Linked DNA regions of Macaca mulatta. The main gene of each other region encodes a partner of the protein of the gene in region 4 in a complex. Links are inferred from orthologs where the notes say so. Each region holds a gene or a part of one and is shown on either strand. Other genes may lie near its edges.

What was found.
Region 1: MEAF6 (region 4) and RUVBL2 share a complex: the UniProt entries of both Homo sapiens proteins name them as parts of the nuA4 histone acetyltransferase complex. The link is inferred for Macaca mulatta from reciprocal best matches to the Homo sapiens genes MEAF6 and RUVBL2.
Region 2: MEAF6 (region 4) and BRD8 share a complex: the UniProt entries of both Homo sapiens proteins name them as parts of the nuA4 histone acetyltransferase complex. The link is inferred for Macaca mulatta from reciprocal best matches to the Homo sapiens genes MEAF6 and BRD8.
Region 3: MEAF6 (region 4) and KAT7 share a complex: the UniProt entries of both Homo sapiens proteins name them as parts of the HBO1 complex. The link is inferred for Macaca mulatta from reciprocal best matches to the Homo sapiens genes MEAF6 and KAT7.
Region 5: MEAF6 (region 4) and MBTD1 share a complex: the UniProt entries of both Homo sapiens proteins name them as parts of the nuA4 histone acetyltransferase complex. The link is inferred for Macaca mulatta from reciprocal best matches to the Homo sapiens genes MEAF6 and MBTD1.
Region 6: MEAF6 (region 4) and MORF4L1 share a complex: the UniProt entries of both Homo sapiens proteins name them as parts of the nuA4 histone acetyltransferase complex. The link is inferred for Macaca mulatta from reciprocal best matches to the Homo sapiens genes MEAF6 and MORF4L1.
Region 7: MEAF6 (region 4) and BRD1 share a complex: the UniProt entries of both Homo sapiens proteins name them as parts of the MOZ/MORF complex. The link is inferred for Macaca mulatta from reciprocal best matches to the Homo sapiens genes MEAF6 and BRD1.

What each region holds. Positions count from the first base shown.
Region 1 is NC_133424.1:61,470,349-61,473,554, reverse strand, and holds the end of RUVBL2 (ruvB-like 2), read right to left. Parts: intron 2,115-3,206; coding exon 1,995-2,114; coding exon of another isoform or gene 1,976-1,994; intron 1,604-1,975; coding exon of another isoform or gene 1,578-1,603; coding exon 1,448-1,577; intron 1,026-1,447; coding exon 911-1,025; intron 783-910; coding exon 757-782; 3' UTR 675-756; downstream 1-674. Other genes in the region: LHB (lutropin subunit beta), read left to right, coding at 1-57, 292-534. UniProt on the Homo sapiens protein: Possesses single-stranded DNA-stimulated ATPase and ATP-dependent DNA helicase (5' to 3') activity; hexamerization is thought to be critical for ATP hydrolysis and adjacent subunits in the ring-like structure contribute to the ATPase activity.
Region 2 is NC_133411.1:147,032,768-147,037,178, forward strand, and holds the start of BRD8 (bromodomain-containing protein 8), read right to left. Parts: upstream 3,035-4,411; 5' UTR 2,993-3,034; coding exon 2,974-2,992; intron 2,050-2,973; coding exon 1,953-2,049; intron 1-1,952. Other genes in the region: kinesin-like protein KIF20A, read left to right, coding at 4,055-4,219. UniProt on the Homo sapiens protein: May act as a coactivator during transcriptional activation by hormone-activated nuclear receptors (NR). Isoform 2 stimulates transcriptional activation by AR/DHTR, ESR1/NR3A1, RXRA/NR2B1 and THRB/ERBA2.
Region 3 is NC_133421.1:60,212,417-60,216,319, forward strand, and holds part of KAT7 (histone acetyltransferase KAT7), read right to left. Parts: intron 3,247-3,903; coding exon 3,099-3,246; intron 1-3,098. UniProt on the Homo sapiens protein: Catalytic subunit of histone acetyltransferase HBO1 complexes, which specifically mediate acetylation of histone H3 at 'Lys-14' (H3K14ac), thereby regulating various processes, such as gene transcription, protein ubiquitination, immune regulation, stem cell pluripotent and self-renewal maintenance and embryonic development.
Region 4 is NC_133406.1:203,283,887-203,288,517, forward strand, and holds the start of MEAF6 (chromatin modification-related protein MEAF6), read left to right. Parts: upstream 1-1,647; 5' UTR 1,648-1,668; coding exon 1,669-1,758; intron 1,759-2,855; coding exon 2,856-2,971; intron 2,972-4,631.
Region 5 is NC_133421.1:58,802,504-58,806,406, reverse strand, and holds part of MBTD1 (MBT domain-containing protein 1), read right to left. Parts: intron 3,804-3,903; coding exon 3,569-3,803; intron 2,936-3,568; coding exon 2,880-2,935; intron 2,555-2,879; coding exon 2,450-2,554; intron 1,453-2,449; exon of another isoform or gene 1,210-1,452; intron 800-1,209; exon of another isoform or gene 487-799; intron 44-486; exon of another isoform or gene 1-43. UniProt on the Homo sapiens protein: Chromatin reader component of the NuA4 histone acetyltransferase complex, a multiprotein complex involved in transcriptional activation of select genes principally by acetylation of nucleosomal histones H4 and H2A.
Region 6 is NC_133412.1:57,080,502-57,084,967, reverse strand, and holds the start of MORF4L1 (mortality factor 4-like protein 1), read right to left. Parts: upstream 2,871-4,466; 5' UTR 2,791-2,870; coding exon 2,751-2,790; exon of another isoform or gene 2,681-2,750; intron 2,599-2,680; exon of another isoform or gene 2,406-2,598; coding exon of another isoform or gene 2,114-2,405; intron 1-2,113. UniProt on the Homo sapiens protein: Component of the NuA4 histone acetyltransferase (HAT) complex which is involved in transcriptional activation of select genes principally by acetylation of nucleosomal histones H4 and H2A.
Region 7 is NC_133415.1:1,665,387-1,669,289, forward strand, and holds part of BRD1 (bromodomain-containing protein 1), read left to right. Parts: intron 1-3,302; coding exon 3,303-3,438; intron 3,439-3,903. UniProt on the Homo sapiens protein: Scaffold subunit of various histone acetyltransferase (HAT) complexes, such as the MOZ/MORF and HBO1 complexes, that acts as a regulator of hematopoiesis.

The DNA.
Region 1 (3,206 bases), on a different chromosome or scaffold from region 4:
TGCCCCGTGTGCATCACCGTCAACACCAGCATCTGTGCCGGCTACTGCCCCACCATGGTGAGCTGCCCCAGGCCAGAGACAGGTGCTGCCACCTCAGGGCCGGGTCACAGAGGCAGCGGGGGAGGAAGGGCGGTCTGCCTGTCTGGTCAGGGGCTGGGGAATGGGGTGTGGGAGGCGGGAACAGAGGGCTTCCTGGACTCCTGAGTCTGGGACCTTTGGAGGCAGCTTGGGAGGTCAGCGGAGGCGCTGGCCCCAGGCACATGCTCACTCCCCTATCCACACATCCTCCAGATGCGGGTGCTGCAGGCGGCCCTGCTGCCCCTGCCCCAGGTGGTGTGCACCTACCGCGAGGTGCGCTTCGACTCCATCCAGCTCCCTGGCTGCCTGCCTGGCGTGGACCCCGTGGTCTCCTTCCCTGTGGCTCTCAGCTGTCGTTGTGGACCCTGCCACCGCAGCACCTCTGACTGCGGGGGTCCCAAGGACCACCCTTTGACTTGTGACCACCCCCAACTCCCAGGCCTCCTCTTCCTCTAAAGACCCTCCCCCCAGCCCTCCAAGTCCATCCTGACTCCTGGAGCCAGCAGACACCCCGTTCCTCCCGCAATAAAGGCTTCTCAGTGCGCACTCTGGAGGTGTCTTTCTGTGGGCTCAGGGCAACCACACACAGAGTGGGTGCAGCTTCAAACCATTTTATACAAAGTCACAGTGTCAGAACTCTGGTAGAAAACAGGGTGGGGACAGGGGATGACATCCAGCTCAGGAGGTGTCCATGGTCTCACCTTCTGTGGGGAGAAGGAAGGCCACATGGTCAGTGTGGCCCAGGGGGCAGGGCCTGAGCCTTCTAGGCCGAGCTCCCTCTTCCTCCCCGAGGTTGGCTCTGGCAGTGCAGGTGCAGGGTAGGGATTCTTACTGAGTTCATTGAAGAGGAAGGCGTCCTGGTACTCCTTCATGTACTGCGTGGAGCGGGACTCGTCCAGGAAGAGTGAGTAGACCCGCTTGATGTCATCCACCTGCACTTCTGTACCCTGGAGGGGGAGGGCGGGTCCTGAGTTGGGCCCCTCTCCGTGAGGCTCACGGCACAGACCCCAGCATATGTCACCTCCATGCTCTAGGCAGCAGAGGGTGGCATGTGAGGGGAGGGCATTCTGGCCAGATCGCCTGGGTTCAAAACCTGCCTGGCCATCTCCTGGTTGTGGGCCCAGCCTCTTCATTCCTCAGTTTCTTTATCTGTAAGGTGGACCTAACAGCATCTACTTACAGTCAACAGAGATTTACTGAGCACCTACTGTAGGCCAGGCGGGGAGATACAGAAGACAACTTGAGGGATGAAAATTCCCTGCCTCTGAAAATGTACATCCTAGGTTGAAATTGGAACCCTGGCAGCCCCTGAAGTAGTGCGTCACTCACTGCCGCCATCTGGCCCTGCTGGCTAATTCGGCAGGCTGACCTTGCGTTTCCGGCACACCAGGCTTGCAGCCGTGATGAGCTGGATGGCGTAGCGCAGTGACGTCTCCAGCCCGATGCGGGTCAGCACCGTGTAGGCGTCCTCACTCATCTCCACATCTTCCTCCTCGCACCTGCAAGCAGTGGGGGACGGGGGTGGCTCAGCCAGGGCCCAGCCTCTGACTGCAGCAGAAGTGGCCACAGCAACCCTCTGGTCCTTCCCCACTGGGAATATGTGGCGCCTGCATCTTAGAACCATAGAATGCTGAGGCTAGAAGAGCCACGGAGACAGGGGCTGGGCTGGATCTAAAACCTAGGCCTCCTGACCACGCCCAGGGCGCTGGCCCCCACACCGGTCACGGGTACCTCGCCTCCCTTTCCCACCATGGCTCCTGCTCCCGGATCGGCGGCCACTGTCTGGGTGCCAGATCAGCCCTCTCTCTTGCAGGCCCAGCCACCATGCCAGTCCGCCAGACCTCAGTGTCGGCATTTGTCAAACAGGGTAGACCCCAGCCCCGCCTCCCAGGCGCACGGTCTGGTCCTGCCCGCACCGGATGCGGAGGATCTGCTTCGTGTCTTTCTCGCTGTAGGGGGTGGTGGAGACGATAAGCAGCCGGTCCAGCAGGTCTATGGGGATGCCGTGGGGGCTCTGGTAGCTGGTGCCCCGGATTCTGAGGAAGAGGCAGAAAGAGGGGGCTGTCAGGGGGATGTTCCCTTTTCATTCCCTTTGCTGGAAACACTCCCACCTCCCATCACCACCCACTCAGTGGGCCCAACACCACTTAACCTTTAGCTCGTGTCTCCTGTCACATGATGACATCACCCCCTGATGACGCAGCCTTCCACAACTGTCAGTCCCCCAAGGACACCTTTCCGCAGAGCTGGGCTGCTTTAAGCTAGCTCTCTGCCTCGAGGATTACTGGATCAAGGTCCCACTCCCGTGCTCGACATGAAGCTTCACAAAGGAGGGGACAGAACCTGTCTTGTTCCCTGTTGCAGCGGGGCCCGCCCAGGGCTGGTACCAGGGTATACAGTCAGTTCCCCTTATTCACCGCAGTGAGGTTCTAGAGAGTCACCGTGAACACTCCAATTAGCCGATCCTGAGCCACTGCTCCTAGTGGAATACAGGGTTAGGCTCTCTTGAGCCTTTACTCACAGTATTTTCGTCAATCAATATATATATAATCTGGGTCTATGTGTGTTTTCATTTGTGTGTTTCTGTTATTTTTTTTTTTTTTTTTTTTTTTTGAGACGGAGTCTCGCTCTGTCGCCCAGGCTGGAGTGCAGTGGCCGGATCTCAGCTCACTGCAAGCTCCGCCTCCCGGGTTCACGCCATTCTCCTGCCTCAGCCTCCCGAGTAGCTGGGACTACAGGCGCCCACCACCTCGCCCGGCTAGTTTTTGTATTTTTTTAGTAGAGACGGGGTTTCACCGTATTAGCCAGGATGGTCTCGATCTCCCGACCTCGTGATCCGCCCATCTCGGCCTCCCAAAGTGCTGGGATTACAGGCTTCAGCCACCGCGCCCGGCCTCTGTTATGTTTTTTAAGACGGAGTCTCGCTCTGTTGTGAGGCTGGAGTGCAGTGGCATGACCTCGGCTCACTGCAACCTCCGCCTCCCGAGTTCAACCGATCCTCCTGCCTCAGCCTCCCAAGTAGCTGGGTCTACAGGCGCACGTCACTATGCCCAGCTAATTTTTTCTATTTTTAATAGACACGGGGTTTCATCATGTTGGCTGGGATGGTCTCGTCGTTCTCTTGACCT
Region 2 (4,411 bases), on a different chromosome or scaffold from region 4:
TAGCACTTTCGAGGGCTAAGGTGGGAGGATCACTTGAGCCCAGGAGTTCGAGACCAGCCTGGGCAACAAGTGACAAAAAAACCCAAAAATTCAGCCAAGCATGACGGCAAGGGTCTGTAGTCCCAGCTACTCAGGAGGCTAAACTGGGAGGATCACTTGAGGCCAGGAGTTGGAGACCAGCCTGGGGAACATAGTGGGACCTCGTCTCTACAAAAACATAAATATTTAAATAAAAAAAAAAAAAAGTCCAGCCTGGGCAACATGGCAAAACCCCATCCCTACCAAAAAATACAAAAATGAGCCGGGGATGATGGCATGTGCCTGTAGTCCCAGCTACTCAGGAGGCTGAGGCCGGAGAATCACTTGAGCCCAGGAGGCAGAGGTTGCAGTGAACCAAGATTGCACCACTGCACTCCAGCCTGGGTGACAGTGAGACCCTGTCTGCAAAAAAAAAAAAGCGAACATAATAGAGTTACTACATAACCCAGCAATTTCACTCCTTGAATAAAAAACTCAAGAGAATTAAAAACATTGTCCACAACCTTGTACACAAATGTGCGTATCATCAGCATTATTCATAATGGTCAAAAAGTGGAAACAACCCAATTGTCTATCAAGCGATGGATAAACAAAATTTGGTATATTCATATAACAGATTATTATTCAGCTAAAAAAGGAATTAAGTATTGATACCTGCTATATAAGAATGAACCTTAAAAGCGTTATGTCAGCCAGATGCGGTGGCTCACTCCTGTAATCCCAGCACTTTGGGAGGCCGAGGTGGGCTGATCACGAGGTCAGGAGATCAAGACCACCCTGGCTGACATGGTGAAAGCCCGTCTCTACTAAAAATAAAAAAAAATAGGCTGAGCGTGGTGGCGGGCGCCTGTAGTCCCAGATATTCGAGAGGCTAAGGCAGGAGAATGGCATGAACCCAGGAGGCGGAACTTGCAGTGAGCCAAGATTGCGCCACTGCACTCCAGCCTGGGCAACAAAGCAAGAGCCTCAAAAAATAAAAAATAAAAAAAATAAAAATAAAGAAAATGTTCTAAAATTAGATTGTGGTAATGGCTGCACAACTGTGAATATACTAAAAACCATTATATTGTACATCTTAAGTAAGTTAATTTTATAGTATGTGAATTATATCTCAATAAAGCTGTTTAAAAAAAAAAATACAGCTGGCCTGGTGGCTCACACCCGTAATCCCAGTAGGTTGGGAGGTTGAGGTGGGCAGATCGCTTGAACCCAGGAGTTCAAGACCAGCCTAGGAAACATGATGAAACCCCTATCTCTACAAAAAAATACAAAAAATTATCTGGGCATGGTGGTGTGCACCTGTAGTCCCAGCTACTAAAGAGGCTGAGGTGGGAGGATCACTTGAGCCTCAGACATGGAGGTTGCAGTGAGCCAAGATCACACCACTGCACTCCAGCCTGGGCCACAAAGTGCAACCCTGTCTCAAAAAAAAAAAAAAAGGCCGGCAGCAGTGGCTCACGCCTGTAATCCCAGCACTTTCGGAGGCCGAGGCGGGCAGATCATGAGGTCAGGTGATTGAGACCAGCGTGGCCAACATGGTGAAACCTTGTCTCTACTAAAAATACAAAATTAGCCAGGCATGGCCAGGCGCAGTGGCTTACGCCTGTAATCCTAGCACTTTGGGAGGCTGAGGCCAGTGGATCACCTGAGGTCAGGAGTTCGAGACCAGCCTGGCCAACATGGCGAAACTCTGTCTCTACTAAAAACTAAAAAAATTAGCTGGGCGTGGCTGCACCACTGCATTCCAGCCTGGGCGAGAGAAGGAGACTGTCTCAAAAAAAAAAAAAAAAAAAAAAGGGAAGAAGAAAAAGTCTACTTACAGCTTAATATGATTAACTACAGAAATCTATCAATGTGAAAGAGTATCTAACAATTTCTAAGACCCAGAAAAGCTGACATCCTAGATAGCTTACCAATTTTGATCTCCACTTCTCATGACAGAAGATGCTAAACACAGCTTCTCTCGGATGGACCATGGCTCTGTGGGGCCAGTACTCAGCAGCTTGTGTTCTGGGAAACGAAAAAAAAAAAAGCCTTGGAAGCAACCACTGAGACTGTAGTGCTAAGCTCCAAAATCCCCAAAAAGGGGACTAAAAGCCTAATACAAAATATTCCAACTTGTTAGGACAAAGTGAGCTACTATCACCAAATCTTGATTTTCACCTCTCCAAGTGAAGTATCACCAGTGACCGTGGTACCAATTTGTTGCATGTGAATTATTAACATTTTATTTCTTAAAACGCCACGGCTTGAAGCTCCGCTTTATTAAAAAATTGGGAATGTCAGATTAGGCAGTTCTCCCTAAAAGCCCAGTTTTAAGAACACTGGACTTTATTCCAGTTTGAACTCATTCAGGGCTTATTTCCCAGGAACCCGAGCGGCCAGCCCCTCCTACAACCCCGCCTCCCTCTTAGCATAAACTTGTTTACTTCTCTCAGATCCTCTACTCCAAATGTCGGGCCTAAAAGACCTTTTCAGTCCACTAAAAGAAAAATGGCTGAAATCCCCGAGATGCAATTTCCTGAGTGGCAAGAAAAGCTCATGGTTAAAAGGCCCCACTTCCACTGCCTCACAAACGTCGAACAAAAAATGAATGGCTCTTTGAGGTGCCGGTTACTCCGTCTGGCTCATAACATCTTTTCGTCTGCACGCCCAAGTTTCTAGAGTGCTTTTACGGTTACCCCGAAGGGCTCCTAACACACTAGGATTCACTAAGCTCCTTCTCTCACACCTCCGCTCCCTCCCTGAGAAACAAGACCCCAGATTTCTGGGCCCCCAAACGTTGGTCTTCACGATGCTGTGGAGCGCAGGTCTCTGAAAACCCTGAGCTCTCAAGCAAACCACTTCTCCCACTCCCTAAGCGTGTAACAAAAATATGGTGCCTAGCCTCGGATCTACAAACGCCTTTCACGCAAAACCTGCTCAGATACTCACTGCCCGTTCCCGTCGCCATCTTGGCCCCGAAGTCTCCAACCCTGAGGAGAGACGGTCTGGTAGGGCCGAAACCCTGGAATTCTGGGAAGTAGAGTACCGGCGTTGGTTCGCGGTGCCTCCTGGGAAATGTCGTTTTTTCCCCTAAGACAAAGCAAGCACCCTAAACCAGTTATCTTGTGCAATCCTTTTAAGATTTTTGCTAAGGAAGGACAGGGGTTGGCGGCTGAAGCCTCAAGATTTCCTTTAGGGTTCTTAGGTAAGAAATGTCTAAGGTTCAAGAAAAAGGGTTAAGCTGGAAGAATCCCAAGCGAAATAACTCCTAACCCGCGACAGTTGGTAACCCGGACCCACATTAGATCTGAGAGGTCAAGCGGATGCAAACTACTGGAATTCCAGTCGGACCCGCCCCTTTTCCTTACGCGGATTGGTAGCTGCAGACTTCCCTATCTCATTGGCCGAACGAACGCAGCGCGTAATTTAAAATATTGTATCGGTAACAAAGCTGCACCTCGTGGGCGGAGTTGTGCTCTCCGGCTGCGAAAGTCCAGGTTCGGCGACTAGGTGTGAGTGAGCCGGTACCCGAGGAGGAGCAAGTGGCACGTCTTCGGGTGAGTGTGCGGCTGTGCTGGAGCCCGGGTTACCAGCTCTTGCCCACGCGGAATAGGCTTTAAGAAATCGGAACTGCAGCCATCTGTTTTTCTCTTAATGCTGCATCTCTGTTCTCACGGTGGTCCTTGAGGTTAGAAAAGGAGCCGAGGGATCCTGACACCACCTCCACAGCACCGGCGGGCGAGGTGCCCTACTTTAGGCCTGGCCTTTTGCTTTTGGAGCCAGATTTCTGTGGACTTCTGTTCGCTTTCAGAAATGCAACCTCAAACTTCTCTCGATTGTTCATTAAGTGAACTTCTCTCATTCCCTTCCCCTTTGCCGATAATTAGAGGGGAAAGGAAGTAGGGAGCGGGACCCGGTGTCCTGGGGCAAGGGACTTATTACCTAAAATTCGCGGCCCCTTCTGTCCCTAAAGGTTCTTCTCCCTGCCCACTTTTTGGTCTCTTTTTAGACCTAGGCTGCCCCTGCCGTCATGTCGCAAGGGATCCTTTCTCCGCCAGCGGGCTTGCTGTCCGATGACGATGTCGTAGTCTCTCCCATGTTTGAGTCCACAGCTGCAGATTTGGGGTCTGTGGTACGCAAGAACCTGCTGTCAGACTGCTCTGTCATCTCTACCTCCCTAGAGGACAAGCAGCAGGTAAAGGAACTGGGGAGTGGCTGGGGCAGAAAGTGACATCCTCAGGTCAATAGTTGTCCATACACGGTAGTATGAGGTCAAAGACTAGCAATCCTGAAGGTTTGAGAGATCAATTCAAAATTAGGGGCATGTAGGACAAAATGGCTACGAAAAGAAAAAAAAATTAAGGGCATGACAAGTAAAAAAAAAATT
Region 3 (3,903 bases), on a different chromosome or scaffold from region 4:
TTTTTTTGGAGGGCAGGATGCACAGGCCAGGTGTCAGCCTCACTCTCTCGCAGCTGCACCCCCCAACGGATATTTTAACAACAAAAAATCTGAAGAAATCTTATAGACTCTCCAAAGAAGAAAACTGAAAATTTCCAAACTTTCGGGTGAGAAAAGTTAGCACACAGCAAGGTTATCAACTTGTACATCTCCAGGGGCCTCCTTTCACAATATGATCTACATTTTGCTCTAGGGAGGAACACCTTACATTGATGACATTGTAAATGGTACCCCAGAGTTGTGCAACTCTGTGGTCATGAGGTCAAGACCCAGGGCTTACGCATTTCCTAGCTGTTTTGAATATTTAGTTTTCAGGTGTCTAGGGCATGGTCAATTATACTTTCTACGAACATTATGTCTTTTCCTTAGCATATGCTGTTCCATCTGCCGAGAATAACATATTCCCATCTTTCAACTTGTAAATTCCTATCAGAGCCTTTAAGACGTCAGTGTGCAGCCAGGCACGGCAGCTCACGCCTGTAATCCCAGCACTCTGGGAGGCCGAGGTGGGCAGATCACTTGAGATCAGGAGTTCAAGACGAGCCTGGACAACATGGCGAACCCCGTCTCTACTAAAAATACAAAATATAGCCAGGTATGGTGACGCTCACCTGTAATCCCAGCTACATGGGAGGTTGGTGCAGGAGAATTACTTGAACCCAAGAGGCGGAAGCTGCAGTGAGCCAAGATCATGCCACTGCACTCCAGCCTGGGCAACACAGCGAGACTCTGTCTCGACAACAACAAAAAAGACTTCATCGTTGTGGGAGTGCTGCCCTAAGTTGGCTATCCCACCTCTGGGCTTCTGTAGTACTCTATGCAAACCCCTCTCACAGCCCTTGCCATAATATATTCCCATGACCAATTTTCATATCTATATCTTGCACTGAACTGTAAGATCCTTGAGGACAGGAACTATGATTTTTCTATCATGGTTCCTAGGACATAACATAGTGCTTGAGTTATAGTAGCTATTTATCCATAGTCTCATTGTGGTAAAAATTTAAAGCTTAAGAAATCAAGAGACAATAGCAATACTTTAGCTGAAATCCTAAATTCAAAAATAAAGTTAATGGCGTAAACCTGGGAGGCAGAGCTTGCAGTGAGCTGAGATCCGGCCACTGCACTCCAGCCCGGGCGACAGAGCAAGACTTCGTCTCAAAAAAAAAAAAAAAAAAAAAGTTAAGAACAGTTGTTAAAGAGGATATTCCCACTTTCTTGCTTGAAAAACTGATGGTTTTTCTCTCGTTGTGCAACATACTGATATAAAAGTGACCAAAGTGGCAGGGCACGGTGGCTCACGCCTATAATCCTAGCACTTTGGGAGGCCGAGGCAGGCAAACCACGAGGTCAAGAGATTGAGACTATCCTGGCCAACATGGTGAAACCCCACCTCTACTAAAAATACAAAAATTAGCTGGGCATGGTGGCACATGCCTATAGTCCCAGCTACTTGCAGGTTGAGGCAGGAGAATTGCTTGAACCCAGGAGGCAGAAGTTGCAGTGAGCCAAGATCACGTTACTGCACTCTGCCTGGCGACAGAGCGAGACTCCATCTCAGGGAAAAAAAAAGTAACCAAAGCAACACTGTTGAAGTGCTCAAAACATGTTAAAGCTTTTTTCCCCTAATCTATTACCACCTATTGATCATCAGCTCTCTATATTAGCTACAACCTTCTTTCCTCCTCAGGGAATACCAGAGAAGAGCCAGGAGGGGTCAAGGGTACCCTCCAAATTTAACCCCAGATGCCTAAATGCACTAGAGATACTTCAAACTACCTTCCAACCCCAAGATTCTCAATTCTTTATTACCAAAGCAAAATTCTATATTTCCACACTGATATTTTGGTACAATTATTAATATTTATCAAGTGTGTATTGGATTACATTCCAGAATTAAACATGGTTTTAGAAGTACTGGGCCTCTGCCAATAACAAGTCCAAGAGACTACAGATGCTCCTTGACTTATAATGGGGTTAAGTCCCAATAAAACCATCATAAGTTGAAAGTATTAACAGGCTGAACATGATGGCTCACATCTATAACCCCAGTACTTTGGGAGGCCAAGGTGGAAGGACTGCTTGAGTCCAGGAGTTTGAGACCAGCCTGGACAACATAATAAGATCTCCCAAGTAGTCCCAGCTACTCAGGAGGCTGAGGTGGGGGGATCACTTGGGCCAAGGAGGTCAAGGTTGCAGTGAGCCAAGATCACACCACTGCACTCCAACCTGTGCAACAGAGCACAAGACCCTGTCTCCAGAAAATAAAAGCACTATACACCTAACCTACCGAGCATCATAGCTTAGCCTAGCCTACTTTAAATAGGCTCAAATCACTTACATTAGCCTACAATTGTGCACAATCATCTAACACAAAGCCTATTTTTAATAAAGTGTTGAATATTGCATGTAATTTATTGAAGACAGTACACTGAAGAGTACTGGTTTACCCTCATGATCAAATGGCTAACTGGGAGTTACGGCTCGCTGACTGGGAGTTATAGCTCATTGCCACTATTCAGCATCACAAGAAAATATTTCAGCCACATATCACTAGCCCAAGAAAGGACTGAAATTCAAAATTCGAAAAGTTTCTACTGAATGCATATTGCTTTAGCACCACAGTAAAGTTAAAAAAATAATAATAATTAAATCAAACCACCATAAGTCAGATACCATCTGGACTTCAAGTCCCTAAGCCTAAACCATTCAAACAGAAAGTGAAGGGATAACATTTTCATTTTACTGATGGAGACACGGCGATGTAAAAAAACAAACAAACAAACAAACAAAAAAACACAAATGACTCAAGACATACATGTGTCTCTATCCATTATACCATCCACAGTTCCTTTGGGTCTACAAACTGGATAGCAGCCCCCAACAGAAGCATTGTTAAAGACCTGACAACTCTGCATTCACTCCACATTTTACCAATCATCTGGTGCACCGTCATCTACACCAAGCCAAGGGACCAGTTTCCACATTAACTAGGAAAATAATGTGATGGGCCAGTCAGCCAGATGTGAGGAGTGGTAAGGAAAAATGAAGATTTTTACCTTGAGAACTCTGGCTTAGCCTGGCTGAGGAGCGGGTGACTCGAGCAGATCGTCGGGATGTGCCATCACTTTCTGAACTATCTGTGTGCTCGAGATCTGTAGAAAAATCGGAATCTTCGGTTCCATCTGAACTACTGCCTGCATTCCTCTGTAATACCATAGATCCAGATATTAGCACAGAAGCATTTGGTCTGAGGGTTTGCATTAACATTGAAAATAAAACAAGCTGTGACACCGAAAACACCAAGTTCAAACCTAAGAAAGGATTCCACAAGCATTTCCCATCCTCCCACCCACCCAGGCAACTTCACTTTATTTAGAACACTTAAATGGAACAATGTACAAATAAGGGACTTTTGTTAAATAAATGAAGAGCTTCCATTTCATTGGCTCCCGTTGCCCAGGCTGGAGGGCAAGGGCACAATCTCAGCTCACAGTAACTTCCACCTCCTGGGTTCAAGCGATTCTCCTGCCTTGGCCTCCCAAGTAGCAGGGACTACAGGCACCCACCACCACGCCCAGCTAACTTCTATATTTTTAGTAGAGATGGGGTTTCACTATGTTGGCCAGGCTGGTCTTGAACATCTGACCTCAGGTGATCCACCCGCCTTGGCCTCCCAAAGTGCTGGGATTACAGACGTGAGACACATGAAGATAATTAATTCTTACTGTATTAGCACTAAGTATGAACCAAGATCATTCGGAGATCAGTATCACAAAAAAAGGTCCACTGTAGTGAAAAAATCGTTGGTGCTAGACCTCATTTAACTTTAGAGTAGCTTTTGTTAAATGTCTCCATGAAAAG
Region 4 (4,631 bases):
TGAGTAGCTGGGACTACAGGCGCCCGCCACCACGCCCGGCTAATTGTTTATTTATTTATTTTTTTTAGTAGAGACAGGGTTTCACCGTGTTAGCCAGGATGGTCTTGATCTCCTGATCTTGCGATCTGCCCATCTCGGCCTCCCAAAGTACTGGGATTGCAGGTATGAGCCACCACGCCCGGCATGCATTCCTCTTAAAACAGGGAACAAGTCAAGGATGTTTAATGTTATCATTTTTATTTAACAGACTACTGGAAGTCTGCACAATAAGGAAGAAAAAGAAAAAGAAGCCAGCTTAGAAAGAAAAAAAAAAACGCCCCATTTGCAGATGAAATTATCTATGTAAAAAATTCCAAGGAATCTATACAAAACCCCCCTAAAATTAGTAAGGAAGTTCAGCAAGATGGCAGGTTACAAGATCCGCACACGAAACCAGTTATTCAGAATGCAGCACAGAGGGACAAAAAGATAGAAAATATAGACGGTAGGTTAAAAATAAAGGTTTCTTATGTTCGAGTTCCAGAAAGAGAGAGAATATGAGACAGGCATCTGAAGAAAAATGACTGCGATTTCCCAAAACTGGTGGAAGATACCAACCCACAGATTATAGAAATCCAAAGACTTCCAAGCAAGAAACAAAACAAAAAGAAAAAATATCCCACTTAGACTTATGATAGCGAAATTGCAGAAGAGTGAAAGATGGAGAGCTGAGGAGGGAGAAATCAACAGGGGCCAAGTGAAAACAACGTCTACACCTTGGACTTAACGATAAAAGCGAATTCGTACTTGCAGAGTCATTGGCACCTGCCAAACCCCTTACACACATTAGCTGATTTACTCCTCACAGCAACTGTATTAAGTAGATTCTATCACTGCTTTCATTTTACAGATGAGGGAGTTGAGATTTGGTTATTTACCCAAAGGGGCACACTTTATCGATGTAGCGATAGGATTTTGAACAAGGTAGTTCTCGCTCCAGTTTTGTGCCCTTAACCACTACACATACTTGTTTCTCCAAAGGGCAATGGGAAAATGGGAAGCCACTGAAAGGCTTTAAACAGGGGAGTGATAACATTTGTTTCTGGAAGATTCCGGCACCACTGTGGATAGTGGATTAAATGGGGCTAAAGGTGGAAATAAAGAAGCTGTTGGAATAACGTAGCCCCAAACAGGGAGGGCCTGAATGAACTAAGAAGGTGGCAAAAGGCGCAGGCACAAGCAAATGGATTCGCGAGCTCTTCCGGAGTCGAATCCACAGGGCTTGACCTGGTATCGCGTTTTACTCCGGGTGCAGAGTGAGGAAAACCGGGTTTCTGACGCAGGCAATTGCGGTGGATAGTGAAAGTCATTCACTGAAGTGGACTGAGGCGGGACGCACAGGAGACTCGGAGGCCTGAGGACGAGCTAGGCTTTGGACACGGTAGATTTGTGGCGTCTGTAAAGCCCGCGGCCAGCCGAGGGGCAGGAAACGGCGTAAAGGGCAGAGCAGAAGCCGACTCTCTGGACCTCTCCGAGAAGGATCGTCCAGAGTCCCGGCCGCAGAGCACCTCTGCGCGGCGCTGCACGCGTCTCCGGAAGCCGCGCGCGCAGGCGCAGTGCGGGGGGCGCCCCCTGGCGGCGCAGGGACCGCCCCCAACCTCGCGCCGCCGCCGCCCGCCTCAGCCCAACATGGCGATGCACAACAAGGCGGCGCCGCCGCAGATCCCGGACACCCGGCGGGAGCTGGCGGAGCTCGTGAAGCGGAAGCAGGAGTTGGCGGTGAGGGGCTAGGACCGGGGTTGCCCGGCATGGGGCTCCGCGCCCGCCCCGCCTCCAGGCCCCAAGCCCGGCTGCGCCAGGCCGTTCGTTACTCCGGGGGCGCGGCGCGGCGGGCTGTGTGCTCGGCGGCCTGAGGCCGGGTGCGCATTCTGCGGCCCGCCGGCGGTTCAGCTTCCCGGCTGTGCGAATCCGGAGCCGGGAGGGAGCTGGGAGCGCGGGAGGGGGAGGGGCAGCGGCAGCCGCAGGAGGGGGCGTGGAGGGAGGACGGTGCCGGGGCTCGGGACTCGGGGAGAGGGCGCTAGGAAGGGCGAGGCGGGCGAGTCCGTGATCTTTGCGGGGTGGGGGTGGGGTAGGAGGCTAGTGTGGGAGGGGGACCGAGTCACCCTGTCTGGACTTTGGAGGATGGTGGGGAGCGTGTTCTTTTTGGTACTAGTAGTAGATCCGTTGAATGGAGGCTTTTGATAGACAGGGTTGTGATGTGTTTGGGAATATCTAGAAGGTGACAGGCGAGGGAGAAGAACACATTCTGGAGAATTCGGAATTGTGACAGGCACCCAAGGCCCAATGCACCCTGGTGGCTAAGCTCTTCCTGCCCTCACGTCTCGGCTTGGGCACCCCGGAGGCCCCTCTCACCTGAAGCTGCCCTTCCAGGTTTCCATAGCAACTGGCAGCCCGGTGCCGGCGGCCTCTCTGAGCCTGCGGGGAGGGGAGCGAGTTGACGCTGAAAGGCTGCTCACCCTTCCCTCTCCTGGTAGCGATACCTTTTGTGCGTGGGAGTGGATATCGCACAAGTTCTGCGTTAGCCTGGGTTCTTGACTCCTGGTTTCCGTGAATCCTCTAAAGTATATGCAAAATTTCGCGTGTGTGTGTATTTTTCTGGGGACATGCTTTATACATTCAGAGGTCCATCACACCCAAAGGTCTAGACTGTCTTAGTCCTAAACGGCTGCTCCTCCCCATATCATCCATCTCTCCACAGGGTGATTTAGTGTGGACAAGCTTGCGTTTACAAATCTAATATCAGGATTTCATTTTGGTCAGACTTAAGTGTTTGCATTTAAAAGGCATTATTCATGTCCTTGTTTTTCATCTCTCAGGAAACACTGGCAAACTTGGAGCGACAGATCTATGCTTTTGAGGGAAGCTACCTGGAAGACACTCAGATGTATGGCAATATTATTCGTGGCTGGGATCGGTATCTGACCAACCAAAAGTGAGTGTCGAAAGCCTGTAGTGTTCCTATTGTGTTCCTATTGTGTGTGTTTGTAGGACTGTAGGCTCTTAGTAGCAAGTTTGCTAGAGGCAGTAGTAAAGTGGTGGTGTGGTCTGGACTTGAACTCTTGGACTCTGGCTCAGGCACTGCCTCACTGAATAATCTTAGACAAAGCTCACATCTGTAAAATAGCAAAAGTTGGGCCTTTGGCACAGGGTTGTGTGAGGCTTAAATACAGCATATAACAATATCTTTATACAACATCACTCTATTAAATTTTTTACACATTTTAATCAGTCGTGAGTTCTACCCTCACAGTATTTTTCTTTTCTTTTTTTCTTTTTCCTCCTGAGTAGCTGGGATTACAGGCGCATGCCACCATGGCTGGCTAATTTTTTTATTTTTAGTAGAGACGAGGTTTCTCCATGTTGGCCCAGCTGGTCTTGAACTCCTGACCTCAGGTGATCTGCTGCCTTGGCCTCCCAAAGTGCTGGGATTATAGGTGTGAGCCACCATGCCTGGCCACTTTTCTTTTTTCTAAGAGACAGGGTCTCATGCTGTTGTCCAGGCTGGAGTGCAGTAGCACAATCTTAGCTCACTGCAGCCTCAAACTCCCGGGCTGAAATGATCCTCCCACCTCAGCCTCTCAATTAGCTGGGACTACAGGCACACAATACTGCACCTGACTAATTAAAAACATTTTTTTTTTTTGTAGAAGTGGGGTCTCACTTTGTTGCCCAGGCAGGCCTGGAACTCCTGGTTTCAAGCAGTCCTCCTGCCTCAGGTTCTCAAAGTGTTGGAATTAAAGGGGTGAGCCACCACGCCCAACTGACCCTCACAATTTTTGCCATACCTGTGTGCCAGCTGTACCACTGCTTGCTTAGTAATATTTTTAAAAAATTTCTAAACTTTTGGATTATCTTCAAGTTATAGAAAAATGGGAAGAATAGTATATGAACACTTGATACTGTCCTACCTGTATTCAGATTGTTAATGTGTTGTGACATTTGCTTTCTCTTACTCTCTATAATATTAATATAAGCACACACCTATATTTACATTTCACGTTTTTAAATTGTGAAATAATTATAGATTCATAGGGAGTTGGCAGAATGGTCTTTTGTAGTCTTCATCTAGTTTTCCCCAATAGGTGTTTTTTTTTTTTTTTTTTTTTTTTTTTTTTGAGACGGAGTCTCACGCTGTTTCCCAGGCTGGAGTGCAGTGGCGCGATCTCGGCTCACTGCAAGCTCCGCCTCCCGGGTTCCCGCCATTCTCCTGCCTCAGCCTCCTGAGTAGCTGGGACTACAGGCACCCGCCACCGCGCCTGGCTAATTTTTTGTATTTTTAGTAGAGACGGGGTTTCACTGTGGTCTCGATCTCCTGACCTTGTGATCCGCCCGCCTCGGCCTCCCAAAGTGCTGGGATTACAGGCTTGAGCCACCGCGCCCGGCCAATAGGTGTGTTTTATATAACTCTAATACAGTATCAAAGCCAGGAAATTGACGTTGGTACAATGTATATATATAGTTCTATGTCACTTTATCTTGTGTGTAGATTCATGTGACCACAATCAAGTTACTTCAGGAACTATTCCATTACCACAAAGATCTTCCTCATGCCACTCCTTTGTAGTTATATCTCCCTGTCCCCCTACCTTTTT
Region 5 (3,903 bases), on a different chromosome or scaffold from region 4:
TGAGACAGAGTTTTTGCTCTTGTTGCCCAGGCTGGAGTGCAATGGCACGATCTCAGCTCACTACAACTTCTGTGTCCCAGGTTCAAGCAATTCTCCTGCCTCAGCCTCCCAAGTTACTGGGATTACAGGCGCCTGCCCCCAGGCCCGGCTAATTTTTTTGTATTTTTAGTTTCATCATGTTGGCCAGGCTGGTCTTGAACTCCTGACCTCGTGACCCACCCTTCTAAAGTGCTGGAATTACAGGTGTGAGCCACTTGGCCTGGCCTTTTTTTTTTTTCCTTTTTAACATGATAAAGGTGTTTCAGGAATCAGTGTTTTAAATTTTTTTTTTTTTTTTTTGAGACAGTCTTGCTCTGTTGCCTAGGATGGAATGCAGTGGTGCAATCTCAGCTCACTGCAACCTCCCCTTCCTGGGTTCAAGCAATTCTTCTGCCTCAGCCTCCCGAGCAGTTGGAACTACAGGCGCCTGCCACCATGCCCAGCTAATTTTTGTGTTTTTAGTAGAGATGGGGTCTCACCATATTGGCCAGGCTGGTCTCGAACTCCTGACCTTGTGATCTGCCTGCCTCGGCCTGTTTTAAATCTTACTGGGTCATTCTGATCACTAGTCAGGAAAAGAGGAGGAACAGGGTTTGGAGCCAGTCTTGTCCAGCTGTTTGACCATGTGACATGGCAGTCATCATAATTGTTTTTCTTTTTCCTTTTCTGAGATGGAGTCTCGCTCTGTCGCCCAGGCTGGAGTGCAGTGGCGCCATCTCGGCTCACTGCAACCCCCACCTCCTGGGTTCAAGTGATTCTCCTGCCTCAGCCTCCCAAGTAGCTGGGACTACAGGCGCACGCCACCACGCTTGGCTAATTTTTTGTATTTTTAGTAGAGATGGGGTTTCACCGTATTAGACAGGATGGTCTTGATATCCTGACCTTGTGATCTGCTCGCCTCAGCCTCCCAAAGTGCTGGGATTACAGGTGTGAGCTACCATGCCCAGGCCATCATAATTGTTTTTCTTTTAGCTCAAGGTTTTAAACCGTTGAAATGCAAATTATGACTTAAGTTACACCTTTATGTAAGCAGATTTTCCTTAGGTGGTTCTAGACCATGGCTGTACATGATATTCACCTGGGGCCTTAAAAAACCGCCAATGTTAGCCAGGCAGGTGGCCCCTGCCTGTAATTCCAGCTACTCAGCTGAGGCAGGAGAACTGCTTGAGCTCCGGAGTTTGAGACTATCCTGGGCAATACAGTGAGACCCTATTGCTAAAGAAAACAACAACAACAAAAAACTGGCTGGGTGTGGTGGCTTGTGCCTGTAGTGCCAGCTGCTCAGGAAGCTGAAGTGGGAGAACTGCTTGAGCTCAAGGCTGTGGTGAGCTATGATCACGCCACTGCACTACAGCCTGGGTGACAGGGCGAGACACCATCTCAGGGAAAAAAAAAAAAAAAGGAAAGGCCAGGCGTGGTGGCTCATGCCTGTAATCCCAGCACTGTGGGAGGCCGAGGCAGGTGGGTCACTTGAGTCCAGGAATTCGAGACCAGCCTGGGCAATATGGTGAAATCCCATCTCTACAAAATATATAAAAATTAGCCAGCACCTGTAGTCCCAGCTACTCAGGGGGCTGAGGCAGGAGGATCACTTGAGCCTGGGAGGCAGAGGTTGCAGTGTGCTGAGATCATGCCACTGCACTCCAGCCTGGGTGACAGAGTGAGACCATGTCTTAAAAAGAAAAAAAAAAAAAAGCTGGGCGCTGTGGCTCATGTCTATAATCCTAGAACTTTAGGAGGATTGCCTGAGCCCAGGAGTCTGAGACCAGCCTGGGCAACCTAGGGAGACCCTGTACCTACAAAAATAAAAATAAGAAAATTAGCCAGGCATGAAAGGACACACCAGTGATCCCAGCCACTCTGAAGGCTGAGGTGGGAAGGTCACTTGAGCCTGTGATCACACTACTGCACTCCCGCCTAGGTGACAGAGAGAGATTGTGTCTCAAAAAAATGAACAAACAAACAAAACCCAAGAATCTCTCTTCTAGGTCTTTTTGTACGAGCAGTTTCAGATGAGGGGGAAAAGAGAAAAGAAGCAAAAACTACCACCAAAAGGAAGAAAAGGGCCTAAAAAGGAAACACAGGAAACTGAAGATAAACTTGGCCTTGTTACAATTCTGAATTGGACTAGCCTTGACTAGAAGTAACTTAAATAAATATTTTCCCTCTAAATTAGGATATACTTCCACAAGTAAATGTAGCAGACTCAAAATGACAATCTTGACAATAAACTATATAAGAAAGATCAGGAATTCAAACTTATTTTGAAATTCCTAGCAACCTTCTCTCCAGTGAAGATACACACACATACACATTTTATGTCAAAATGAATATGCTTGGGGACTCCTTCTATTAGCTTACACCCAAATCCTATAATTGCATTTCTATATTTTAAAACCTATTATCTTACCTTTCTAATGGTTGCGACACATATTGTAGAAAGATTTAATGGGTCTATAGCTTCCAATTTCATTCCTTCCTTGAACCATTCCCCACTCTGGTCTACTTCTTTTACCTAAAGAATTATATGAAAGCACATCTACTGTTACAAATGTTGTTATTTTAATAATTAAAATATTACCAATGTGAAAAGATTTACCAGGTGCCTTCTCCTACCTACCTAGTATTATAACTCAAACTTCCATCAAAGTTTAGAGAGAATTCAGACAAATAGAATTTAAGAATAATTATAATAAAGAGTTGTGACACCTATGAATTTACAAGGTCTTAATTCTTTTAAGTGAACACATGTAACTGTGATTTCCGTAATTTTAGGAAAAAACCCACAACCCTCTTTCAAACCTAATTTACAAATGAGGGTTCTTATAAAAACTTCTTACCTTAGCAAATAAATGTGGTGGTGTATCAAAATGTCCATCCTGTTTCTTTGTAATATCTACAAGGAAAAGTTACACACTAATCTGTCAGCATTTGTGAGAAGACCAAAAACCACGTTCTTTGAAGGCTTCAAACTCACAAGGTATGTCATACTATAAAACATGGCAAAAAGACATGCCTTCTACATTTGGGGTGAATATTCTTTAATAGTCTTTTCTCTCTTCAGGGTACATGTGCATATATGCTTTTAAATATATTCAGCCAATTTTAATGCTCATAATTTTAATGTAATTCCCTAGTTAGAAAATTACAACTTTAGAAGCATGTTTTCATGTGCTTAGTATTAAGTCTAACCACATTTCATCTTGCTATTTTGATTAAAATTGAATGGAAAGGGAAAGGGATCTTTAGATCTTTCAAATGGGCTGAATAATAGGCTGAATAATAAAAGAAAGAAATAACTGTAGTTGTGACCAAAAGTTCATTCTTTTGGAGAACAAGTGGAAAGAATATAAAAAAATTTATTAGGACACTAACATGGTGTGAACCTTCACTAATTAAGGTAGAATAAGCAGCCCAAAAAACTAGAATGCTATTTTTGATCTGTGCAATTCTGCAGAGAAAAATAACCAACTAGTATAATTCAGCCTCAATGATGCTTTTGACAGGAGTTCTTGTGACAGGTGCTTACCAGATCTTTTGAATCGATGACCTATGCTTCGAGACCAACCGATATGATGTATTAATGGGCTGTGCATATGGCACCAGAAGTCATCTGTTCTATCTTCGCTTTCTTCATACACTAGTCTTAATCTTCCTCCAATTACACTTTCCACCACTGCTACTCGTGTTCGACACAAATGCCTCTTGTCAACCACTTCTACTCTCATGCAAGGTTTGAAAGGATACTGCATACTCTCTGAAACCTTAAAAGCATACAAAAAAAACTGCTCGAAATTCATGACAAGAATTTCTTGTCTACAAGAAATTTTCGTATTATACTGTAAAAAATACTGAATGCATTTG
Region 6 (4,466 bases), on a different chromosome or scaffold from region 4:
TACTAAAAAATACAAAAAGACTAGCCGGGCGAGGTGGCGGGCTCCTGTAGTCCCAGCTACTCGGGAGGCTGAGGCAGGAGAATGGCATAAACCCGGGAGGCGGAGCTTGCAGTGAGCTGAGATCCGGCCACTGCACTCCAGCCTGGGCGACAGAGCGAGACTCCGTCTCAAAAAAAAAAAAAAAAAGGCACAAGGAATTCTCTGCTGCTATTCCCCTCTTAACTAGCAACCCTCTAGAACTAAAGCGCTTCCTTAAACAGCCAACCTTAGGCTGTTCCTACAGAAGCGATTAACTTTTTGTGCCTTGACAGTCTGATACAGCCTACGAGCCGAATGATTTCATAAATACATAAAACACACAGTAGTACAAAGGCAACCGACTGTATCGAAACACCAAAACATTTTAAATGTCACGTTCTATGACATTACAGGACAAAGACTTGGCTAGTCATCCAGCAACTACCCTAATTTTGAAGAAACGAGAATGATTGATAACTGAAAACATCTTCCACAACTGTAATGCTGAGATCTGAAAATACTAATGCGGCGTTTTTTTTCGGGGTTTGGGGGGAGGAATTACACTGTTAACTGAAAACTAAACTTGGGTACACAGAAAAAACACATCTTCCTCATTCAATTTCACGGACCCTCTGAATGCACTAAGAATATCTGCTCTAAAACGTCTAGTAAAATAATGAATCCATAGGAGGTAGAGTCACAGATTCTCAAGGTGGGAGAAGGGTATTAAAAGTCACACGGCTGAGCGCGATAGCTCACGCCCGTAATCCTCCCACTTTGGGAGGCCAAGGCGGGTGGATCGCTTGAGCCCAAGACTTCAAGACCAGCCTGGGCATCATGAAACTCCGTCCCTACCAAAAATACAAAAAAAAAAAAAAAAAAAAAAAAAAACCCACAAAGAAAGAAAAAACCCCTAAAAACAAAACAGAACAAAACTCAGCCGGGCATGACGGCGCGCGTCAGTGATCCGAGCTACTTGGGAGGCTCGCTTTAGCCCGGGGGGCAGAGGTGAGCCGAGTACCATAACTGCCCTCCAGCCTAGGTGACAGAGTGAGACATTGTCTCAAAAATATAAACAGGCCGGGCGCGGTGGCTCAAGCCTGTAATCCCAGCACTTTGGGAGGCCGAGACGGGTGGATCACGAGGTCAGGAGATCGAGACCATCCTGGCTAACATGGTGAAACCCCGTCTCTACTAAAAATACAAAAAACTAGCCGGGCGAGGTGGCGGGCGCCTGTAGTCCCAGCTACTTGGGAGGCTGAGGCAGGAGAATGGCGTAAACCCGGGAGGCGGAGCTTGCAGTGAGCTGAGATCTGGCCACTGCACTCCAGCCAGGGCGACAGAGCGAGACTCCGTCTCAAAAAAAAAAAAAAAAAAAAAAAAAAAAATATATATATATATATATATATAAAAAAACAAAAAAGTCACTCGTTAACAAAATACCCCTAAAACTCCCTTAAATATCCCATAAGATACGCAGTACTACGGTTTAAGATTTATGTCTCTAAAAGGAATTTTAATGCAAGTCTAAAAATCCCTAGAACAAAAATAGTACGCATGGAAACACCGTATTTACGGTAACTAGCATAAATTTCCATAGCAATGAAAACGAATATTAGAGTGTTCCTCCTTTTACAGGATTTTACTTCCTTTTTAGCTATTAGACCTCCACCTTATTATACATAAATTGAAGCGTTGTGAAAATTTAAAGAGCTGCCTTCCACTGGCAGTCTAACCCTAGCCAAACCTCATGCCAATCGAAAACCAATTAATAAAAATAAACTCAACTTTCAAGTCACTGTTAAACACTGCAACTAATCAAACAATTACTGCATTTAAAAAATGACGTCGAGACAATGGGACTTACAAAGGCAAACGGCGTTAACACTGCATTCAGATCATTTTTATTTACTTTTTACGAGCAACTGCAAAGCGAGAGCGCACTAACGTTACCATAGGATCTTGGCACTGCGCCTAAGAGCAGAATGAGGCCTCCAGGCAACACAAAGCGGAGGAAAACGCTCATCCCACTGATCCTTTTTTTTTTTTTCTGTCCCCACCCACCACTCTGAGGTAAGCGAAGGGTCCCGGCAACCTTGCGGTCTTCGTGGAAGGGGGCGCTGCATCTGCCCTGAAGCTGCGCCTGCATACGGGGCAGAGACGCCAGCGGCCATGATGAAGCCGCCATGTTGCAACGGCCATTTTACAACGCAGTTCTCCCGCCCCGTGGCGCCAAACCCACCCCCATCTGCAGCTCCGAGTCTCCACCGAACGCGACCACCCCGGGGCTCCAGGGAGCACCTAACCGCCGGTCGTGGCTGCCCAAGCGGCCGGGCGCGCTGCAGGACAGCCAGAAACCACCGCCGCCCCTCCCCCCGCCGCCACATCACTTCCCCTAACCGCCGCCATGGCGCCTTGGTCGCCTCCCTACAATAGGCTGCTCTCTCCGCGCCCTCTTCCTCAGAACAATAACAAACACTTGACGAGGGTGTGCCACGCGCCAAACGCTCCCTCTCCCACTCTAACGCCTGCGTAGCACTCTCGCTTCACAAAGCGCTCACAATGACGCATCGGAATTGCCATCCGCAATGCGCTTTCCCCGCACAAAGCACTATCCGCCGCCTTCTCAGGGTGCACCCCGAGCCACCCCCGGCCCTCAAACCTCAACCACCTCGAGCCCGCCTCCATCTCCTGCGCCGTTAGGTGCCTTTTTCCCAAAGGCGCACACTCACCCTCCTGGAATTTAGGCTTCGGGTCCTGCTTCGGCGCCATTTATAAGTGATTCGCCGCCTCCTCCTTCTCCCACCACCCCCGACTACCGCCCCCTACTCTCTACCCCACCCAACTCCGCGTCAGACGCGCCGTCAGGCACTGCCAGCTCTACATCCTGGGCCGGATTTGCCAGCGCCCGCAGACCTCACAGCAGCGCGACCCGCGCAGCCGCTGCTCCAGCCAATGACAACCCGCCGCGCCCGCGCCCCTGCGCCCGCGCCGCCCCGGGGCACGCCGGGACTGGTAGTTTCTAGTTGGTGGAGGCGCAGCTGGGTGGGGGAGGGGCCGGCTACCCTACCCCACTCCTCCCCACCCCCCCGCCACTCCCCATCCCCCGGGCTGCTGCGGGTTGGTAAAGCGGGGAATTGATTACGTGGGAGGTTAAAGCAGAGCGGGCAATGGGGGAGAGTCGGGGCGGTGAACCACCAGCGATGAAAAAATGGGAAAAACCCAGTTGCGACGTCCTTTGGGCAAATAAGCCCCCATTGATGTTGAAGTAGCCGGAGAGAATAGGGCTGCCTCGAAAACCTATATTCAATAGCATTCCGCTAGTTTTTGCATAGAAAAGCTTTAGGATCAGCAATGTGGCCACAAGAGGATGGGAAGTGGGGTCCGCTTCTGGAAGCTTCGTTGTTTAGCAAGCCCACTGCCTAGTCTATTTGGTGGGATTGATAGCCATTTGTTGGCTCCCAGGTCTACCTCCTCTTCTCCAGTCCCGGCCTTGCGGAAATGAGGAAGATGACGTGGGAAACACTAGTCAGGCTTTGGCTTTTTGAGATAATGGAGCTCTGCTATCCGCAAAAGGCTAGTGTGAATATGCCAACCTCTGCATTCCGTACCTGCCCTGTTTGTACTTTTTTGTCATCTAATTTTTTGAGCCATGATTGAATGTACACACACTAAACAAACGGATTTCTTCAATATTATATATTTTTCTTTTCTTTTCTTTCTTTTTTTTTTTTTTTTTTTTTTGGAGATGGAGTCTCGCTCTGTCGCCCAGGCTGGAGTGCAGTGGCCTGATCTCGGCTCACTGCAGCCTTCACCTCCCAGGTTCAAGCGATTCTCCTGCCTCAGCCTCCGGAGTAGCTGGGATTACAGGCACGTGCCACCACGCCCAGCTAATTTTTGTATTTTTAGTAGATACCGGGTTTCACCATGTTGTCAGGCTGATCTGGAACTCCTGACGTCGTGATCCGCCCGGCTTGGCCTCGGAAAGTGCTGGGATTACAGGAGCAAGCCACCGTGCCCAGCCTGCCTCCATGGCTTTTCTAAGCCCTCCCCTGCCCGGGTTCCACACCCTACCATTTCCGGGCCCCTCTCCATTTTTCTGACTTCCATTTCTCCTTCAGTCTTTTTAACACAACCCCTTCTTCGACAACAGAAACCCACAAAAATCTTCGTTATTCCAGTTGAATATACACCATCTTGTCACGGCTGCTACTTGCAAGCTTGTCCAACCTGCCTTATTTTCCTGTTGTTTTGTTTTGTTTTGTTTAGGCTTTTAGCACCCTGAAGCCATGGTTTTTAGTTTCAGTCTCTAGTAATAAGTAGAAAAGAGGGATGAGGAAGGGGCTTTACTGGCCCAACCAGATACAGAAACTAAGAACCCATGACTGTATTCCCTCCCTTGGACACCATTACTAAGCTGTAAAAAGGGACAAGGGCTTCTTTGAACC
Region 7 (3,903 bases), on a different chromosome or scaffold from region 4:
TCTTTGGCCTCCTAGGAAGTCACTGGGAAGGCCCCTTGAGGGTGGGCAGACCCTGGCCACTGTGGGAATTTGTGCAGCTCCTGTGTTGACGGGACAGTGGCCCTTCCCTGGCAGCCGCCGCCTCTTTTAATGTATTTTGCACGATCACTAGCTTTACTTTCAGCATTAAAAAAACACCTCGTGCTGAAAAAGTTGCTGAAAGTTGCCCCCTGCCGTATACACAATTTAGAGACTTGGGCCCGATGTCAGTGCTTGCAGTTTGCAAATGCCTCATGGACCAGGCACCCCTCTCTGCAGACCTCAGGCCCTGGGTTCCCCACGTTGGCTCCCACCTCAAGGCTGGCCTGGGCTTCAGAATGTTCTGGGCTGAGGTCCTTGCAGGGGTGCCGAGGGTGCGCGTCATGATGGACATTTCCCAGCTGGCCGGAAGAGCCTCACAGGGCGGGAGTTGGCAGGGCTGAGATGGAGAGATCTCAGAACCATAGCTGTCTTAGATTATTTTCTGGTGGCCCAGGTGGAGGCTGGGAGGGTCTGGGCAGCACAGGCCACCTCGAAGCTCCCCGGAGGTTCTGGGGACTCCAGGCAGTGGCCGCAGAGCCTCCCGGGCCATGTCTGTGGCCTGGTCTGGCCTCTGGGGTGACCCTGCACTGCTGTAGCTCCCGAACTGCCTTTCAGGCCCTGCGGCCATCGCGCCCCCACCAGGCCTCTCGCTGGGTGGCGTCTTGGTTGGTCTGGGTTTGTCCGTGCTGCCCACGTCTTCCTGGGGGCTGTCACATTTTCACGGGTGACACGCGGAACCTCTGTGTGTACTTGCGTCATATGTGCACTCACTGAATGCTTAGGAAAATTAAGAGGGGCATTTTATCATTCTTCTCTTCCTGAGAATTAAGGACTTGCCTTGTGTTTTAATCCCCTGCCTGGCCCCACTCCATGCAGTGGTGCTCATGGAGCTGGGGCTGTCATGGCTAGTGAGTGGCCTGTGCATGGCCTGGCTGTGTTGGGGCTGCAGGTGCCGGCACAGCTGCGGGTGCTCTGGTGCTGGGGCCCTCAGGCTGGCGTCACTGGGCAGTCTTGTGAAGGCTGCACTGGTCCTCGTCTCCCCCCAGGTGGCCATTGCTCGGCGGAGCAGTAACTACTCAAAGCCTCCCTACCCAGGCCCTGGGCCACGTCTGCTCACCCTGTACCTGGGGTCTGAAGTGCGCTGGGGGCCTGGCTGTGGGGTGTGGGTCGCCAGGCTGGTGGCTGCTGTCTGGAGACGGCTCACACGCGTTGGCAGACCCGTCCCTGGGCCTGTGGGCTGAACGCTGGCAGGGGTGCTGGGCTCCATCCGTCCACTGCTGATGCAAGCCGGGTGGGCTTCCCCTGCCTTCACCCACTCAGGTGGGAGTAGGGATGGAGTCCTTGCTCCTGAGGGGTCCTCAGGGGCCAGGACAGGACTTTAAACTCCTTCTTGAGACACCTTCAGGGCCTGAGTGTGCAGGGTCTGAGCCGCTCTGTGATAAGTGTGGGGAGGATGTGGAGCCCTGGGGCAGCTCAGCATGTGGCTCAAGGCCTTCTACTGTAGATTCTTGCGTTTATTTGTTCCCTTGCCAAAAATGAGTATGACACCCCCACCTGGCCGTATTTCCTGCCTTAAAATGACCGAGGTTAAAATGAGAAACACAGAGCTTCGTTTGGAGCTCACGGTACATTCCAGTCCAGCAGACACAGAGCGAGTGTCTGACTTGAGTCTGTGGAGGGCAGCACGGTGCCCTCCTAGTCTGCGCATTTCCTTCTGAGCTGTTCACCGAGGTTGATTTAGCCCCTCTGTTTCAGTCAGTCGTGCTCATTGAGAACAGACGGGAAGCGTTCGAATCAGGTGGAAAACCCCACAGTCCAGCCATTCCCTTTGAAACATGTCTCCCAGCCACTCAGGAGGCTGAGGCAGGAGGATCACTTGAGCCCAGGAGGTCGAGGTTGCAGTGAGCTGTGGAGTCCATTGCACTCCATCCTGGGTGACAGAGCAAGACATCGTTTCCAAAAAAAAATTCTACATTAATGCTTTATTTACAAATTTACACAGTTTCCTTTGGAAATAGATTTAAAAATTTTTAAGGATGAGGTAGGCAAGAAAATGGGGTTCTTTTTGGATAAAAAAAATTCACACAGCTGGGTGCGGTGGTTTACGCCTGTAATCCCAGCACTTTGGGAGGCTGAGACGGGCGGATCACGAGGTCAGGAGATGGAGGCCATCCTGGCTAACACGGTGAAACCCCGTCTCTACTAAAAATACAAAAAACTAGCCGGGCGTGGTGTCAGGCGTCTGTAGTCCCAGCTTCTCGGGAGGCTGAGGCAGGAGAGTGGCGTGAACCCGGGAGGCGGAGCTTGCAGTGAGCTGAGATCGCGGCACTACACTCCAGCCTGGGTGACATAGCGAGACTCCGTCTCAAAAAAAAAAAAAATTTACACACCGCTTCAGCTCTCACACCCAGAGGCTGCCCTGGCGGGAACATCGTCCCCCGTTGTGACTCCCGTGGGGGACCTCATGGGGGGGACCTTGGGCACATGTATTGTTTCCTGTTGACTGACATAAAGTCAGGCCTTTTTAGGGGGAAAAGACTGAGATATGCCTTATTTTTCAAATGTTGAGATGATGGAATTGTAGACTGTGTTTTGTGTAGCTGTGTATAATACTTGAATGCCAGTGATCGCAGCTTCATAGTGAGTGAGGCCGGAGACACTCAGACACGGCCATGGCCCCGGATTCTCTGTTTTAAAGTGTTTCGTCAGCATTTTTGACTTCATGTTAACACTTGTCTTTTGAACCAAGGTTTTTTCTTTTTAAAACCTGATTTCCTGTTCCCTGGAACTCTGCTCCTGTGAACACGATTTTGTGTCTTTGGTGACCCTTTCAGCCTGGTGAAGGGTCCGTCCCGATGCGGCGTGTGCCCACGTGGACAGGCCACCCCCGTGTTTGCACTCACAGGTTGCACATCTGCTCCTGTGGCAGGCTCACGGCATCCTTTCTTTGCCTTCACAGAGCCTGTTTAAAGACCTGGGCTTGTCAAGAGGAGCATCTTCACGGTGCTCAGCAAACTACTGTGGTCAGAGCTGACTGCAATTTGTTACATTGATTTCATTTAACGAGTAACTTTGGTGTTTGCTTACTGTAAGGACTGTACTCTGGGAGTGAAAAGGAAGATGCTGTCTTACCTGTCTGTGAAACGTTCCTTGTAAGATGTGTTCCAAGTGAAACCTAGTTGAGTCTTGCTTGGGCACGCCCTGGTTGCGCTGAGCTCAGGGCTGGCCTGCCTGTGTTCCAGGTCTCACCAACGGCTTTGGGGGTACGAGGAGCGAGCAGGAGCCAGGCGGCGGCCTGGGGAGGAAAGCCACACCCCGACGACGCTGCGCCTCCGAGTCCAGCATCTCCTCCAGCAACAGCCCGCTCTGCGACTCGAGGTGGGCACCGCGGCCCCGCACTTCCTGCCACGCAGCTCCCGAGCCACCCGCCCTGCCTGGCTGTCCTGGAGACCAGGACGTTCCAGCTCCCATCTTAGTGCCCTCTGAAAAATTCTGGCCTGGGATTCATGTGTGCTCTGCTCTTGTGGGTGGTTTCCCGTGCTGCATATTAATCTGCTTTGTAGAATTCAAGCAGAAGTAGGAAAAACACTACGTGAAATAGGAACGCAATTTTAGAAACTGCAATTAAGTTTATACTTGATCTTTTCCTCCCAGAATCTGGCAGTGAGCACAGCCCTGCCTGTCTCATTGGCCTCCTGAGTACCCCCTGCCACAGGCTCACTCCCTCCAGACCTGTGCACCCACAGGCCTGCCTGGCTGCAGGGGTGTCAGGCAGGACGCGTGGCCGGCTTGGTGGCGGGCAGCCCACGGGACGAAACCTGAGTGAGGCTGAAGCCAGGGGTG